2 linked regions of the Rhinolophus ferrumequinum genome follow. The protein of the gene in region 1 interacts with the protein of each later gene in a pairwise test. Links are inferred from orthologs where the notes say so. Each region holds a gene or a part of one and is shown in the gene's direction. Other genes may lie near its edges.

The links.
Region 2: the proteins of TRIM42 (region 1) and KLHL38 interact in binary tests that used the Homo sapiens proteins (3 or more experiments, as listed by UniProt). The two-hybrid records come from large-scale screens. The link is inferred for Rhinolophus ferrumequinum from reciprocal best matches to the Homo sapiens genes TRIM42 and KLHL38.

What each region holds. Positions count from the first base shown.
Region 1 is NC_046300.1:39,337,185-39,345,215, forward strand, and holds the start of TRIM42 (tripartite motif-containing protein 42), read left to right. Parts: upstream 1-5,007; 5' UTR 5,008-5,180; coding exon 5,181-5,521; intron 5,522-8,031.
Region 2 is NC_046297.1:60,903,703-60,911,108, reverse strand, and holds the start of KLHL38 (kelch-like protein 38), read left to right. Parts: upstream 1-4,357; 5' UTR 4,358-4,578; intron 4,579-5,009; 5' UTR 5,010-5,217; coding exon 5,218-6,606; coding exon of another isoform or gene 6,607-6,631; intron 6,632-7,406.

The sequences.
Region 1 (8,031 bases):
AAATGAATCATAAATAAAATTTTTTAACGTTTGTTCAAATGAAGATCTTAATAAAGGTCAAGAATTACAATTGGTTAACATGGTCTCTTAGGTCTCTTTTAATTTATAAATTTCCGTGTGTGTGTGTGTGTGTGTGTGTGTGTGTGTCCCCCTTACAATATTTCTTTTGAAGAAACCCGGCCATTCGTCCTGTATGTTTTCCACAATCTGCACTTTTAGGTTTCCTCACCACAACATCGCCTGCCCTCGACAGTTTGTAGTTACATCTAGAAGTGTGATCCAATTCAGGTTAGAACTTTTGCAAGAACACTTACGGGCAGTGTTGTGTTCTTCCATCAGGGAGCACACAATGCCTGGTTGTCTCTCTTTTGTGCTGTTAGCAGCCACGGAGGGAATCGCCTAGATTCATCTCTTCAGTAGGAGTTGCAAGTGGATGATGTCTTAATTCCATCATTCCTCATTTATGAGCTGGGATATTTCTATAAAGAGAAAAATTACGCTTATCAACTCATTCATTATCCTGAGGCACAGTTCATATATAACAAAGTCTAGATAAATGTTTCTGTCCCTTTATTTAGCAGGTTTCAAAATAACAAGTTTCCTAGTATCCTGTCTAAATGAGAGTTGTTGGGATTTTTGTTTCGTTTCAGTTACCTTCATGAACTTGTAGGTTTTTTGTTAATGTGAATAAAAGGTTAGCAAACTTGGAGCCGGCCCGGTGGCTCAGGCGGTTGGAGCTCTGTGCTCCTAACTCGGAAGGCTGCCGGTTCGATTCCCACATGGGCCGGTGGGCTCTTAACCACAAGGTTGCCGGTTCAACTCCTCGAGTCCCGCAAGGGATGGTGGGCTCCGCCCCCTGCAACTAAGATTGAACACAGCACCTTGAGTTGAGTTGCTGCTGAGCTCCTAGATGGCTCAGTTGGTTGGAGCACATCCTCTCAACCACAAGGTCGCCAGTTCGACTCCCGCAGGCGATGGTGGGCTGTGCCCCGTGCAACTAGAAAGCGGCAACTGGACCTGGAGCTGAGCTGCGCCCTCCACAACTAAGACTGAAAGGACAACAACTTGAAGCTGAACAGCACTCTCCACAACTAAGATTGAAAGGACAACAACTTGACTTGGAAAAAAGGCCTGGAAGTACACGCTATTTGCCCAATAAAGTCCTGTTCCCCGTCCCCAATAAAATAAATAAATAAATAAATAAATAAATAAATAAAAGTAGAACATTAAAACAAATCTCTTGTTAAAAAAAAAAAAAGGTTAGCAAACTCATTCTCTTTCTCTATGAAAAAATGACCTTGGGTTAACTTTTTAGCTCTGTTCCCCTGGAAACCCAGGAAAGGTGGAATGTCATCTATGTTACCAAGCAACATTGCTTATGGTAAAAATGACCTCTGGTTAGAAAACTACACCTGGCCCAGGAGGACTGTGAATTAACTATCCACACCTAGTAGGAATCCATAGTCTGAGCTTTTCTAAATGCAATGCATCCTTGTAACTGGGCATGTCCCTTGCTAAGACCCCTGGCAGCTGTTCCCATGGGATGAAATCAAACATATTGGCTCAGAGGGGGAAAGGGGCTTATGAGCCAGAACAGTTCCCATACCCGTTCCTTTGCACTGGGTTCCCCCAGAAACAGACTATGAGACTGGAGAGTTATGCACAGGAAGTTTAATGGGAAGGGCTCTTAGGAAGTGAAGGAAACAGGGCTGTGAAGCGGGAAAAACGAAACTACAATGTGAATGCAACTGTGAACCCCAGCAGGACTTCCTTGGTATCTGGGATGGCCCTTTACAGTTGTCCCAATTTAAGCAGTGAGGATCCTTGAAAAGGGGCATAACCTCGGGCAAGGCAGTTCCCCTGTACTGAAAACAATTCCCAACTGTGAGCAGCCAACCCTCCAGGCAACCGGAGGAATGAGTACCTCAGTCTTAGCAAGGACACCTGGCCAGTACATCACGGCATCACTATATCACTATCTCCTTCACACCTGAGCCATCACACCTGACCCTGCTCTGCTGGCACACTGTCCTTTCTGTTCTATAGCCTCTAGCAAAGCTAAGTAAACTGGTGCTGGAGGGGACCCGTTCAGTTTTGTCAGATGTACACCTGAACCCGTTTATCTTACACATTTTGTGCCCCAGACCTGGAATCACCCGTTTCTCCGAGAGCCCTGATTCCTCTGAGTGATACTCAGAGACCACAACCTGGAAGACAACGGGGCTCATTACCACTGGGTTTCTCGGCCATTTCAGTGGCCAGAGTTAAGAAATATTTTTTTCAGATAAAAGACATCACAAGTTGATACTGATTATTTCCAACTCAAATTCAGGACTAAAGGTTTTCTTAACTTCAGCCGTCGTCCATCTGTATGTCCTTTCTCCCACTACAAAAATTGTGATTCTCATTGACAACAACCGAATTCCTCCTTTGCTTTATTGTACGACGCACGCAACACTCTCAGAATAACAATACTGACTCCCACTGACAACATGACTACTGAGAGAATTTAAGATTTCTCCTTGTTTTGTTTTGTTTGTCCTTAGGGACAAACCCCACTTGATGGGGATGTACCATCAAGTTACTGTATTTTTTAATTTTTTATTAAATTTATTGGGGTGACATTTGTTAGTAAAAAATTATACAGGTTTCAAGTGTACATTTCTATAATATATCATCCGTATATTGATTGCATTGTGTGTCCACCACCCAGAGTCAGTTTTCCTTCCATCACCATATATTTACCCTTTTCTACCATCCCTTCTCTCCCTTACCATTTGGTAACCACCAAACTGTTGTCTGTCTCTATAAGTTTTTGTTTCTTTGTTTGTTTGTCTCGTTCATTTGTTCCTCTCAGTTTCATATTCCACATAGATGGAATATTACTCAGCCATAAGAAAAGATGAAATACGGCCATTTGCGACAACATGGAGGGATCTTGAGATTCTCATACTAAGCGAAATAAGTCAGACAGAAAAAGTTGAGAACCATATGACCACTCAAATTACTGTATTTTAAGCTAACAAAATAATTTGTCTTTCTATGGTTATGCTACCAACTCAATTTACAGGTTCACTTGTTTCATTTTGCTTAATTTTTAGGATTTCTCTTTTTAATTCAATTTCATTTTATAATTATGTGAAATACTTAAGTGGCTTTCAAATCAATCCTATAAATTAAGATATATAGTCCACTTGACCTTATTCCTGTACTACCTCATAAATCTAAGTTTTCGGTTTATCTTAATGTATCATAAGACAAACCAATGACGTAAGACCTTTTCTGAGATGAATGGTAGCATATTATACGCACATTTCTATATCTGGCTTTTTGCACTCAGTAATATATTTTAGAAATCACTTTGAAACAGTCAACGGAAGTCTTTCACATTCTTTTACATAGTTACATACACACCATTGTGTGGATTACTTCAGCTTATTTGACAGTCACAAAGGCCACATATTATTATATATGATTCCATGCATATGAAGTGTCCAGAATAAGCAAATACATTGATAATAAAAAGTAGTTTAATGGTTGCAGGGGCTGCAGGGAATACAAGGAGTCTTTGGGGGGTGATGAAAATATTCTAGAATTAGATGGTGGTGATAGTTGCACAATCTTGTGAATATACTTAAAACCATTGAATTTTTCAACTTAAAATGGTGAATTTAATAGTAAATGAATTATATCTCAATAAATATTTAAAAATAAAAAGACAAGAGGGAGGCTTGCGCAGATCAATGATGAAAACATATTTAAATTCAGGAGTGTGTTAAACTCTGTGCATGGAGAATAGAGAGAAACATTGATAAAAGGGAATTTAGGAAAACATGACAGGGGAAAGTACCTCCCATATATTGTTTGTGTCAGTATAAACAGGCACATTCAAGTAAGTAGTTTAGTAGTATCTATCCAAAAAAATAAAGCACATGCCCTATGAACCAGGATTTTCATTTGTGGGAATCTAAAATCCATGTGTGGCTGGCACAGTCAGCTCTCAGTGAATGCTCTTCCGATTATAAAGGTGATAATCATAGAGAGAGATAATAAATTATGCAATAAACTCCTACAGCCAATTCAGCTCTTACTTCTGCTTCTTTTTGGAAAAATAATAAGACAGTGTTTATACCACAGGGTGGTATGGCCATGAAATCTCTGTTCTTTTAATCTTTGCAAGCTGCATTAATTGGAAAGAAAATTCTCCCCTAAAATGCTACAAGGTCATTCTAGACATACTGCATGTATACTAAAAGAAAAGTTAAAATTCCTCATGTCGAGTTCCGACCTCTTGTAAAAAGATACATGAGGTGGGAAGGTGGGGGGCGGGGTAGGAGATAGCTTGAGCCTCGGCCAAACCCCACGAAGCTGCAAAAGCCAAGAAATATTCAGGGTGAGTTAATACATGAAGCGTCATGAACATCATCAGATTTGAAATGAAAAACCTTGAAAGCCTTTGAGAAATTTGAAAAAAGAAAAGAAAATCATCAACGCAGCAACTGACAAACTCAATGACTACTGAAAGAAGTGCCTAAGTGAACCAATATCTTTTTTTCTGTAATTCTTTCTCCAAATGGCGATGGCCTTAAATGTGGCATTGCTATTATTTGTAAATGCTGTGCTTTGCTTATCAAATAAAGAGTTCTATGAACACAGAAAAAGCCCAAGGAGACGAACATCATGTCAGTCTACTTTTCAATTAATCATATCCAGACCTTGAGGCCTATAAAGACATAGCCTCAAGTTAACTCGCCCAAGTTGCAGGGAAAGCAGAGAGAAATAGCTTCTGAAGTCCACCCCATAACTCGAAAAGTGACAGGTGACAGCTAACCCTTCAGGATGCTCATTGCCTTACTGTTCCTTGGAGCTGGTCCTACGGAAGCATGGTGTGCCCCCCAGCGCACCTGCCACTAGCCCCCAGAGCTCACCCTCCCAGACATGGGATAGAGATATGCTGGGGAGACAGGGATTGTGACATAAGCAAATGGCCTCAGGCCCATATATGTAAATGCCAGCCCATGAACTTCCTAGTAGGGACATCACCTGCGAAGGCCTCATAACAGCCAACCTCTTGCAACCTCCAAGCTGACGGCCCCGTCGGGGGGAAGAGGAACCCCTCTGCAGGAGAACTAACAGCAGGATTCTCGTGGAAGAGGGCAGGTGACCGTCACGACCGAGCCATGGAGACTGCTATGTGTGTCTGTTCTCCGTGTTGCACGTGGCAGAGATGCTGCCCACGGCTGTGCTCCTGTCTGTGCTGCAAGTTCCTGTTCACGTCAGAGCGGAACTGCACCTGCTTTCCCTGCCCTTACAAAGATGAGCGGAACTGCCAGTTCTGCCACTGCACCTGCTCCGAGAACCCCAACTGCCACTGGTGCTGCTGCTCGTGGGCCAATGACCCGAACTGCAAGTGCTGCTGCACGACCAGCAGCAACATCAAGTGCTACTACTACGAGAGCCACTGCTGCCGCAATGCCACCATCACCTTCCATAAGGGCCGCCTGAGGAGCATCAGTACCTCGTAAGTGCCGGGCCCCGGAGGTGGGCCACATTGGCTCAGGAACACGGGGGGGGGGGGGGGCGCCCTGCCAGCTGTGTGAACGAGCGCTGTGCTCTCCTGAGCCTCAGCTCTCACTGGTACAAAACAGTAATAGCCAATACTCAGTGCTTAAGCAACTTGCCTGGCACTGCCTGCATGGCCCCATGGCACCCTCAGCCCAGACCCACCCCACAAATGAGGAAGCTGAGCCTCAGAGAAGTTAAGTGGCCCAGGATCAGACAGTCAGTCAGAAGCACCCAGGATTTGAACCCAGAGTCTGTGTGTTCTTAACTTTAAAAGGCTCTACTGCAAAAACAGAGAGGAAAATCCCTGCCTCGATTCGGTGGCATGAGAAGTAATGCATATACTTTGTGATTTAAAAATATAAATTGCTCTGCCTCCTCTGAACTTTTGATATCTGCAACACTTACTGGACAAGCAATCGCTTCCATAGGACACTTTTGACCCCTACGGCCTACAGAAGGCCCCCAGAGAGCTGTGTACTCCTGCCAGCCTTCTTTTTGTTCCTATCCAGAGGTCATGGCACTGAGGGTTTCAGCCACTCTTTGGGAGCATTCACCCTCTGTGTCAGGCATCAAATATCCTCTTCCTGCTCTGATCAAACCCGTCTTTCTATGTCACACATGAGAGGAGTCTGGAGTATGAGAGGCAGACTCCTTAGAGGAGGAAAGATCAAAGCTCAGCACCATGACAGGATTTGGAGAGGCAGGTTTGAAGCCTTTCAGGACCGGAAAAGCAATTCCGTGAGCAAAGGTTAGTGAGTTCAGGTGAAGAATATGACCAAGCCGTTTTGCAGTTCAGCACTTAGTAGATGTTTCATAAGTGTTACTCTCCGCTCAGGGACCTCTCGTGGTCCTTGCGTGAACAGAGAACCCAGCAGCTCTGGACGCAGGCCCAGCAGTTCTTAGGTGTGGAAAGTAGCGTCCACACTCCCCTTGACTGCCCCATTTCCTGTGCATCCGCCAGGAGACTCACTGAGCCCATTTTAACAGAGGATGGATGACATTGGTGCTTTGGGAAGATGCCTTAAACCAGGAGCTCCCAAACTTTGCTTTGCATTGAAATCACCTGGGGAGCCTTAAAAGTACTGATAGCTGGCCCCCACACCCAGACATTCTGGTTTTATTGGTCTGGGATATAACCTGGGCATCAGAATTGTAAAAGCTTCCACCCTCCAGCCCCAGTGATTCTAAAATGCAGAATGGCTTGCAGGGGGCACGGAGGGAAGTTGAGAGACTTGCCAGGTGATACAATGAGAACCTAGATGCAAGGAGAACGGGCCTGGATTTGGGAGAGGGGAAAAGCCATACAGAGGAGCAGAGGCCAGATATCTGAGCAAGAAGGCAAGGCCGCTGGGCTAGGTGATGATCTTGGCATGGAACCACAGCCACTGAATGCCCAAATCTAAGCCTGAGGCTTGGAAAAAAATGGTCAGTGATGCTCTTGCAAGTGTCAGGAGGTTGGTTCTGGGGGCACTGAGGCTTATCTTCCAGGTGACTTTTCTTCTGGTTTCTGAACTACTGCCTGCCCTGTTCCCCAGTGGTACTTCCTGGCCAGCATCTTGCTCATCCTGCCTTACTCTGGTCTCATTCACCCCTCTCTGCCTTATTCATCTCTTTTTCTCACTTCCTTTTTCACCTTACCCCAGCTCCCTGGGCCATTAACACCTGTCTCTTAGCTCTGCCCTCTCTTTCTCTTCCCCTAATACCACCTTCCCTCCCTTCTTCTGATTTCTCATATTGTCTCCCTTTATGTTACACCGTGATCCTGAGAGTCCTACCTTATCAAACTAGAAAGGTCCATCAGGTACCACATGTACAATGGGCTTGTACCTCCCAGTGACCCCTTCAGGGCCCAGGTAGGAGCCTGAGAAGGCAGAGAGGGAACCAGGCTGAGAACATTGTGGGTGGCAGGCCGGGAGCCCAGCATCCAAATCCTACGGGATGAGCTTTCCAGGTGCCTGAGTCTCCACAAGGGACATGCTCTGCTCCAGTACACTTGGGCAGCATCTTTGACTGTCTAAGCTCTGAGACACAGGTCCCTGACCACGGGAATGGGGAAGGAGGAGACAGGGGCACATAGGGACCGCAAGAAGGCAAAACCAGAAGAGAACACAGCCACAATGTCAAGATCAATCCAAACGTCACTCATCTGAACAGAGGCAAAGAGACAGGAAGAGTCACAACTGTGCGTGTGTTGACACCTCCATCCCCACAGCTAATTCATTTATTTTCATAAACTGCTTTTGTCCCAATTATAGCTTCTTGGAACATGCACTTAAGTTTTACAAGTGTGCTTTTACTTTGTCCATAGTTCTTACAACACATGAAAGCAGCCTCAGATGTTAGACAAAGCACATGTACACACCCCCACAAACAGGGGAAGCACACACTTTTCACGCTCTTGACCACTGCTTTCCTCTACTGTGGACATCAGCGGGCTAATAGTAGACGGTAGTAATTACAGTGGCC
Region 2 (7,406 bases), on another chromosome or scaffold:
TACCAACAAGCTACCAACAGTCCTGATGTCATCTCTGTCAGCCCTTTTTTTTCCTTTGCCCTTCCCAGGGGGTGGGGCGGGGGGAAATATGAAGATATTTTCTGGTGCTGGAGCAGGGGTGAGGAAGAGTTGGGAATGCTGTCATTTGTACTACTGACCTAGTAAAAACAGGGTTAGGCTTTTAACTCTCAGAGCACAGTTGTCATGGTCATCCCAGAATCAAGGTGCAGGCTGACTTGCCACCATTGTTTAGAGTACAAAGTCCTTGTTCAGCTTTCCACAAGCTGCTTAAAAAATACACCCAGCCAGGCAGATACAGACACCGATAGACAGGCACTCGCATACATAGAAAAGTTTTAAAATCACAAAGCAAGAGGCAAGTTCCTTACTGCAGCTTTTAATGACCCAGTTCACTGGGGCCTTATTTGCTCCTCATTTTTCTCCTTCACCTGCTGACTGTGAGAACAGGAGAGTCTCTGAAGACAACGAACAACAACCTTCCAGTTTTCGAGGAGCTCTTACTAGGCCTTTAAGTGCAGATTTCCACATTCTTGAAACACAGTTCCTTGGAACAGATAGCTGTGGTCACTGGTTAGTGTGAAAGTGACACCTTGCCTCGAGTGTGTTAGGAGGACTGGACATGTATGGTTCGTGGCTTCCTTGCTTGTAGCTGTCAGACCTGCAGCTGACTTGAACCAGGTTGACGGTCCACAGGATTTCAGGCCCAGCACACCCAGCCAGGAAACAAACCGAGGTTTCCCAAGTAAAAGTGCCCTGTACTATCAATGCAAAACTCTATGAGGAAACGGAAGTTCTTCTGAATTTACATAAAAGGACAAAATAATAAAGAGCATGAGCTGGAAGCCTCTGGCTTTAGGCCAGAGATGAGCAGAAGCTCTGAGAAAATCCCTTTTTCTGAGGTTCAGCATCCATCAGTCACTACTTTGGCCACCTCAGGGCACAAACCACAGGGCGAGCTGGAAGAGGGAGGCTCAGAGGTCACCTGGCAAGGTGAGAAAGTAAGTACAGGGAGGTTTTGTGACTTGTCTAAAGACACACAGCCAGTCCATGGCGGATCCTGGACTGGAATCTAGGACTCCTGGAGGCTGGGTAGATAGTGAGGAACATAGCAATTACTTAAGACACAGGAAACAACCAGAGTGAGCAGGCGACCGCATTAGATGCTGAAAACTGGGCACTGAGAACTGTTGGAATCTAATGAAATTATTTTCAGAGTAAACACTAACCATAATACTAACCATAAGTTAGTGCAGTGAACCTAAACTGTGCCAGGTACTTTACTGGATGCTCCCCACACATTAGTTTTCTATGACAAAGATGGTTATTCCCATTCAGATGAAGAAACGGAGGCTGGAACATGTTAACTTGCCCAGGACCACACAGATGCTGAGAAGAAACGTCAAGATTCTCCCAAATCTTTCTGCCCTCAAAGCCTGAGTCTTGACTGCTTAGGATAATGATTTTCATCAAAAGTAGGGGCAAAGAGCTGAATGTCCTCATTTATTTAAGGTTCCCATATGTTCACACCCTAAACCCTCCCAGAAAAGGTCAGGACGTAAAGTTAAGACAAAAGTACAAAAATCTTTGAGACAAATATTTTCATGAATTGAAAGTAGGCTGGTTGGGGTTCCATGTGGGTGGCACAGATGCTTTTTGGATAAGGCTTGGTGTTATATGTGCGTGTGCTAGGAGGCAAACACCAAGATTCTCTTTGTGTCTTTTGGGCCCAAAGTCTCCTAGTAGGCCAGGCCAATGGAATGGGGCCTGTTTTTTCTTAACTTTAAAATCCAAAGAATTTATCAAAGTTGGTCAGACATTGACACTGCACACCAGGGCTCATCTGAACACTTGACCAGGCTGGATTCCAGAAGGTCTAATTAGCTAGGGAATGTTGGGGAAGCTCCAAGTTTCCCCTAGAGAGGATGGCGCCATGTTAGTTCACTCCCAGAAAAACCTAGCTACCGCCCTCACAACAAACCCGGGGCTTGCTCACCAGCTGCAAGAGACATAAGACGACAGGCGTTTCAGAGCAACAAGGAAGTTATTTTTTGCCTTGTGCCGTCTTGGCGGCCAAGGACGAAAGCACCAGCTTTGGGGTTGGAAGGACCTCAGTGTAGGTCCCAACCTTGAACTTAACTCTTGCTGCGTGGTAGGAAGCAATTATTTTAAACTTTTCCCTTCATCACGTGATTGGAGTTGATTAAAACGAGGGCCATCCAGGGCCGTTCCCGACGACCAGTCGCATTGTGGTCTAATGGACGTGCGCCAAGCTGTACACGGCAGCCCTGCTAAAACCCACTCAGCACACGGGGGCATGCAGTTCACCCCACAGAGCTCCCTCTCTTTTCCTAGTCTGCATTCTGTTAACGCCCAGTGCAGGCACTGTGGCTAATTCACCCACCACGTGCCAGGTACGAGGCTAGGCAGTTGGGATGGAGAGAAAATCAAGACAAGGTTCTCGCCGTCCAGACACCGCCATTCCAAGAAGAGAGGCGCAGTCAAGTAAACACCATTGCAGCGAGGCCTGAGGCATGTAATATTAGAAATCGGCAGAGGGAGCGGACACAGTCCAGAGGACTGAGAAGCTTGAAACAGAAGGAACACAGGCCCTTTAAGGAATTTAGCTACCCGTCTATTACATCACCAGCATGGCTCAGAAGCGAAGGAATACTCACCAGCGCTGATAGCTATCCCAACAGCTCCTCTCTCCAGCATTTCGCTTGTATCTCCATGGGTCTCTGCCCCCCTTGGCTCAGGTCTCCTCATTCCGGCCTCTAGGCCCCCGGCCCCAGTGGCATGTTATGGATATACTTGCCTGACCTAGACCTTCTGTACTCTGGAAGATGATCCACTCTATGACCTGCAACTATGAATGAGAGACACTCCTCCTTCCACCCTGCCCTGTGGTCCCCTAAAGGCCTGGCCAGCCCAGCCTCCCCAACAGGGACTAGATACATGTAAGGACCTACGAGTCGTCTGATGGAGCCAGAATCCAAATATAAGTGGGAGAGGGAAGTGGCCGAAGCCGGTTATGGAGGTGGACAGGAGACCAGTCTGATTCCTGCTAAATAGTCTGGACTTTATTCTGCAGACTTGGGGAGCCACTGAAAGGCGTGATGCAGGGAACTGGCAGGTTCTGATTTGCCTGTCCCGGGATTACTCTGGTGGTGACAGGGTAGGGTTATTGGAGAGAAAGAGACAGGAGCGAGGGGAAAAGTCAGTGCGTGAGGCTGTAGGCTGTTACAAAAATGAAAGTGCGATTTGAGGAGAGAACACCAGGCTTCCCTGTCACTCACTGCCGGTGCCCTCAGTCAGGACCTCCCAGGAAGCAGGGGCAGGACCGACCCGGGGACCCTCTCAGTCATCCTCATAGGTCTACAGCAGCCCATCCCGGGGCTGATCCTACTCCATAACCGTCATCATTCTCCTCTTCCTGCTCCCCTTCCTTCTTCTCCCTTCCTCCCTCTCTCCCTCTCCTCCTGCTTCTTCTCCCTCCTTCTCCTTCCTCCTCCTCCTCCTTCTTTTTCTCCTCTGTCTCTCTCCCCCCTTCCCCTCTCTCTCTTCTTCTTCCTCCCTCTTCCTCCATCTCTCCCTCCCTCCCTCTCTCTCTTTCTGGCACACTCTAGAGCAATATGCCTTGCCTCCCGCCTCGATCTCAAGCCTTTCTGACAGGAAAAAAAACGGGAAAGTAAAACAAAAAAGCAAAAACCTATTTGTAAAAACTAATGGAAAACCAATCAGCACTTTCTGAGAGAGGCAGGTGTGTCGTGCAGGAGGGCTGCTGCCCTCACCACTTTAAAACAGAAGCCTCTGGGGGAAGGAGCAGCCACCAAGGTTTGGTCCTTCCAAGTCTGGAAACGCGGGGGTGCTTCACAAACATTGAACACAACTTTTGTCATGGATTCCATCATCTCAGAGCCCGGAGGAAGAAATGACAGCCCTCTCCAATGATCCTGGCCGGCAGGTGAGAAATACAGACCCATTAAACAGCACCCCTGGGCCCCCTTTTGGGTTTCCCTTGGGACCATCTGCCACCTTCCGCGCACCCAGAACTACCTTCAGTGACTCTCACCAGGTCACAGCAACCTGTTTACAGACATCTAGAATTCCCAGGCACTTTTAGGACACGGGACTCGGGATGTTTCCAAATGGGCAGCAAAGTCCTGTCTCAGAGAAGCCGTTCCTTCGGATCTATTTATGCCGATGTAAACACTTGCCAAAGAAACAAGGCACGTGGGCATGCGCCGGCTCTGCAGGCCCTCGGCTTGCTGCAAAAGGCAACTGGAAAGTCACATGTCATAACAGTGGAAAGTACATATGCAACTATTCTTAGCCCTGGAATGTATACACTGTCTCCCTGCCCAGCGGTTCTTTCACAAAGCTCTAGAAAACTGTGAAAGCGCCTTCAGCATAAACAAATCCAGAACTCTCCCAGGACAAATCATTTGCCAACTGAAGGAAAGGCCTGGGTTTATGGTTTCACTTGGAGCCAGAGGTGGAGACTCTGGAGGGACGAGCCGGACCAGACATCGGCGGATGGTACTGCCACAAAACAAGGTAAATGTCTCTGACGTTTCATTCTTCAACAGGTAGACCGTGAGGCATCATCCAATAAACACTGCCCAGGTTACTCTTGGGTCTGTGCTTCCTATTTATCCCATCTTGAAAACAAAACCCTAAAGACTTCATGCAGTCATATTCTCAAGGGGAAAAAAGAACATTGCAAAGGTCCACTTTATCCCTCCTTCCTGTCTAGTTAGCAGAAGGCCACGCCCCCAGAATGACGTCCCTTCGGGAAGGACTAACACCCAGAAAGATGCTTGGATGAGTTTACAAAAATAACAGATAGGCTGAGAATCTAGAGAAAGGCTTCTGGTGGGCAAACGCATAGACTGTCATTTTGCTTTAGGCTAACATTTCCATTCCTGACAATAGAGTAACTTCCAACAGCCTTCACTGTTTTTGTTTGTTTGCTCGTTTTTTCTCAGATTATCTGAAGATGCTGTTTGCCTGTTACCTTTGAGAGGAACCATAACCAAAAGGAGAGGCGTGAGCTGTGAAGTCTGGAGGGCAGGTGGCCTCCCTTTCCAATCTTCACTACAGGATTTTCTTGGCGATACCCTCACGCGTCTTGGAGAAAGGATGCAGATGCTCTAAGGTCTTGGAGACTCCACAGCCAAACCCTCCATCCAGCACATGCTCCCTCGTGGGACTTCTTCCCCTCTTTGCAGGATGAATGAGTCATCGCCAGATGGGCTGCTCTTCAACGACCATGACTTCTCCTCCGAATTGTTGAGGCAGCTCAATGGCTTCAGACAAAACAGCATCCTGACTGATGTGAGCATCTGTGCTGGGGCCTGGGAGGTCCCCTGCCACCGAAATGTGCTGGCCTCCAGCAGCCCTTACTTCAGGGCCATGTTCTGCAGCAACTTCCGGGAGAGCAGTGAGGCCAAAGTCCAGCTGAAGGGCGTCAACTCCATGACTCTGGACCAGATCGTCCTGTATGTGTACACCGGGGCGGTGCACATCACAGCTGACAACGTTCTGCCTTTGATGGAAGCCGCCTCCATGCTTCAGTACCCCAAGCTGTTTGAGGCCTGCTCCTCCTACCTCCAGAGCCAGCTGACCCCCAGCAACTGCCTGGGCATGATCAGACTCTCTGAGATCTTAAGTTGCAAGACCCTCAAGAAGAAAGCCAGGGAGGTGGCCCTGACGTACTTCCCAGAGGTGTCCGCATCGGCGGACCTGAAGGAGCTCTGTGCTTTGGAACTGAGGGACTACCTGGGAGATGACGGGCTCTGTGGGGAGGAAGAGAAGGTGTTTGAGGCCCTCATGGTTTGGATCAAGCATGACCTCCAGGCCCGGAAACGATACATGCAGGACCTGTTCCGGCTGGTCAGGCTTCAGTACATCCATCCGGCCTTCTTCCACCACTTCATTGCCAATGACGCTCTCCTGCAGTCCTCGCCTTCATGCCAGGTCATCTTGGAGACAGCCAAGAGGCAGATGTTTCCTTTGTATGGCGCCACCAGTGCCCCAGACCTCCAACCTCCGTGGCACATCCCCCCAAGAAACTCTTACCAAGACTTCCTCATCCTCTTGGGTGGAAGGAAGGACAACCAGCAGACCACCCGGGACGTTCTGCTGTACAACAGGCAGACTGGCCAATGGCAGAGCCTGGCCAAGCTCCCGACCCGGCTGTACAAGGCGGCGGCCGTCTCCTTGCACCGCAGCGTGTACGTGCTGGGAGGCATGGCTGTCGGCGCACAGAAGAGTGTACCCAGTCACAATGTCTACGTCTTCTCTCTGAAGCTCAATCAGTGGAGCCTGGGGCAGCCCATGCTGGCGGCCCGCTACTCCCACCGAAGCACTGCCCATAAGAACTTCATCTTCTCCATCGGGGGCATTGGAGAAGGGCAGGAGGTCATGGGCTCCATGGAGAGATTCGACAGCATCTGCAACGTCTGGGAGAGCGTGGCCAGCATGCCAGTGGAGGTTCTCCACCCTGCAGTCGCTGTGAAAGACCAAAGACTCTACCTTTTCGGGGGAGAGGACATTATGCAGAACCCTGTGCGCCTCATCCAGGTAAATGGCTGGTCCTTCCCGTTGTGTAAGTACACGAGAGTGTGCGCACCTGCACACATACAAACATACTCACACGTGCATATATACGCACACACGCACACACACAGCATACACACACAGGAATGTACATACATACACGTATAGGTGCACATACACACAGAGACACATGTGCAAATATATGTTATACATACACACATGCACATATAGAAACATACTCACCCATGCATATGTACGCACATAGATACACATACACATGAACACACATACAGAAATGTACATACATACACATATAGGTGCGCACACACATAGACACATATGTACACACCTATACATACACACATGCACACATACATATATACACACATACATAATACACACATTTGTCATCTGCAAGAGAAAGAAAAAGGAGGGAGGGAAGGAAGGAAGGAAGAAGGAAGGAAGTTTAATTTCAGCAAGATTTTTATCCATTTATAAAGCCTTTTTGTGTAAGATTAATTCATATAAAGGTACATCAGGTACAATCCCTATCCACAAAGAGTTTAACTTTATTTGAGAAAAAAATGGTATATCTAAAAGTTCAAGGTAGAACACACTGAATGTCAAATAGTGAAGTCCTATAGGAATTTGGTGGGTGTTTCTAACCCAAATCAGTAAGGATTTAAAAGAAGATTCCGAAGCATGGGTCCAGTCTGTTACCAAGTGTCCTGGAACCTGACCTCAGATCTGCTGAGTCAGAACCTCTTTGAGTGGGATCCTGACATTTATGGTTTACAAAAGTCACCAGGAGATTCTAATGTGCA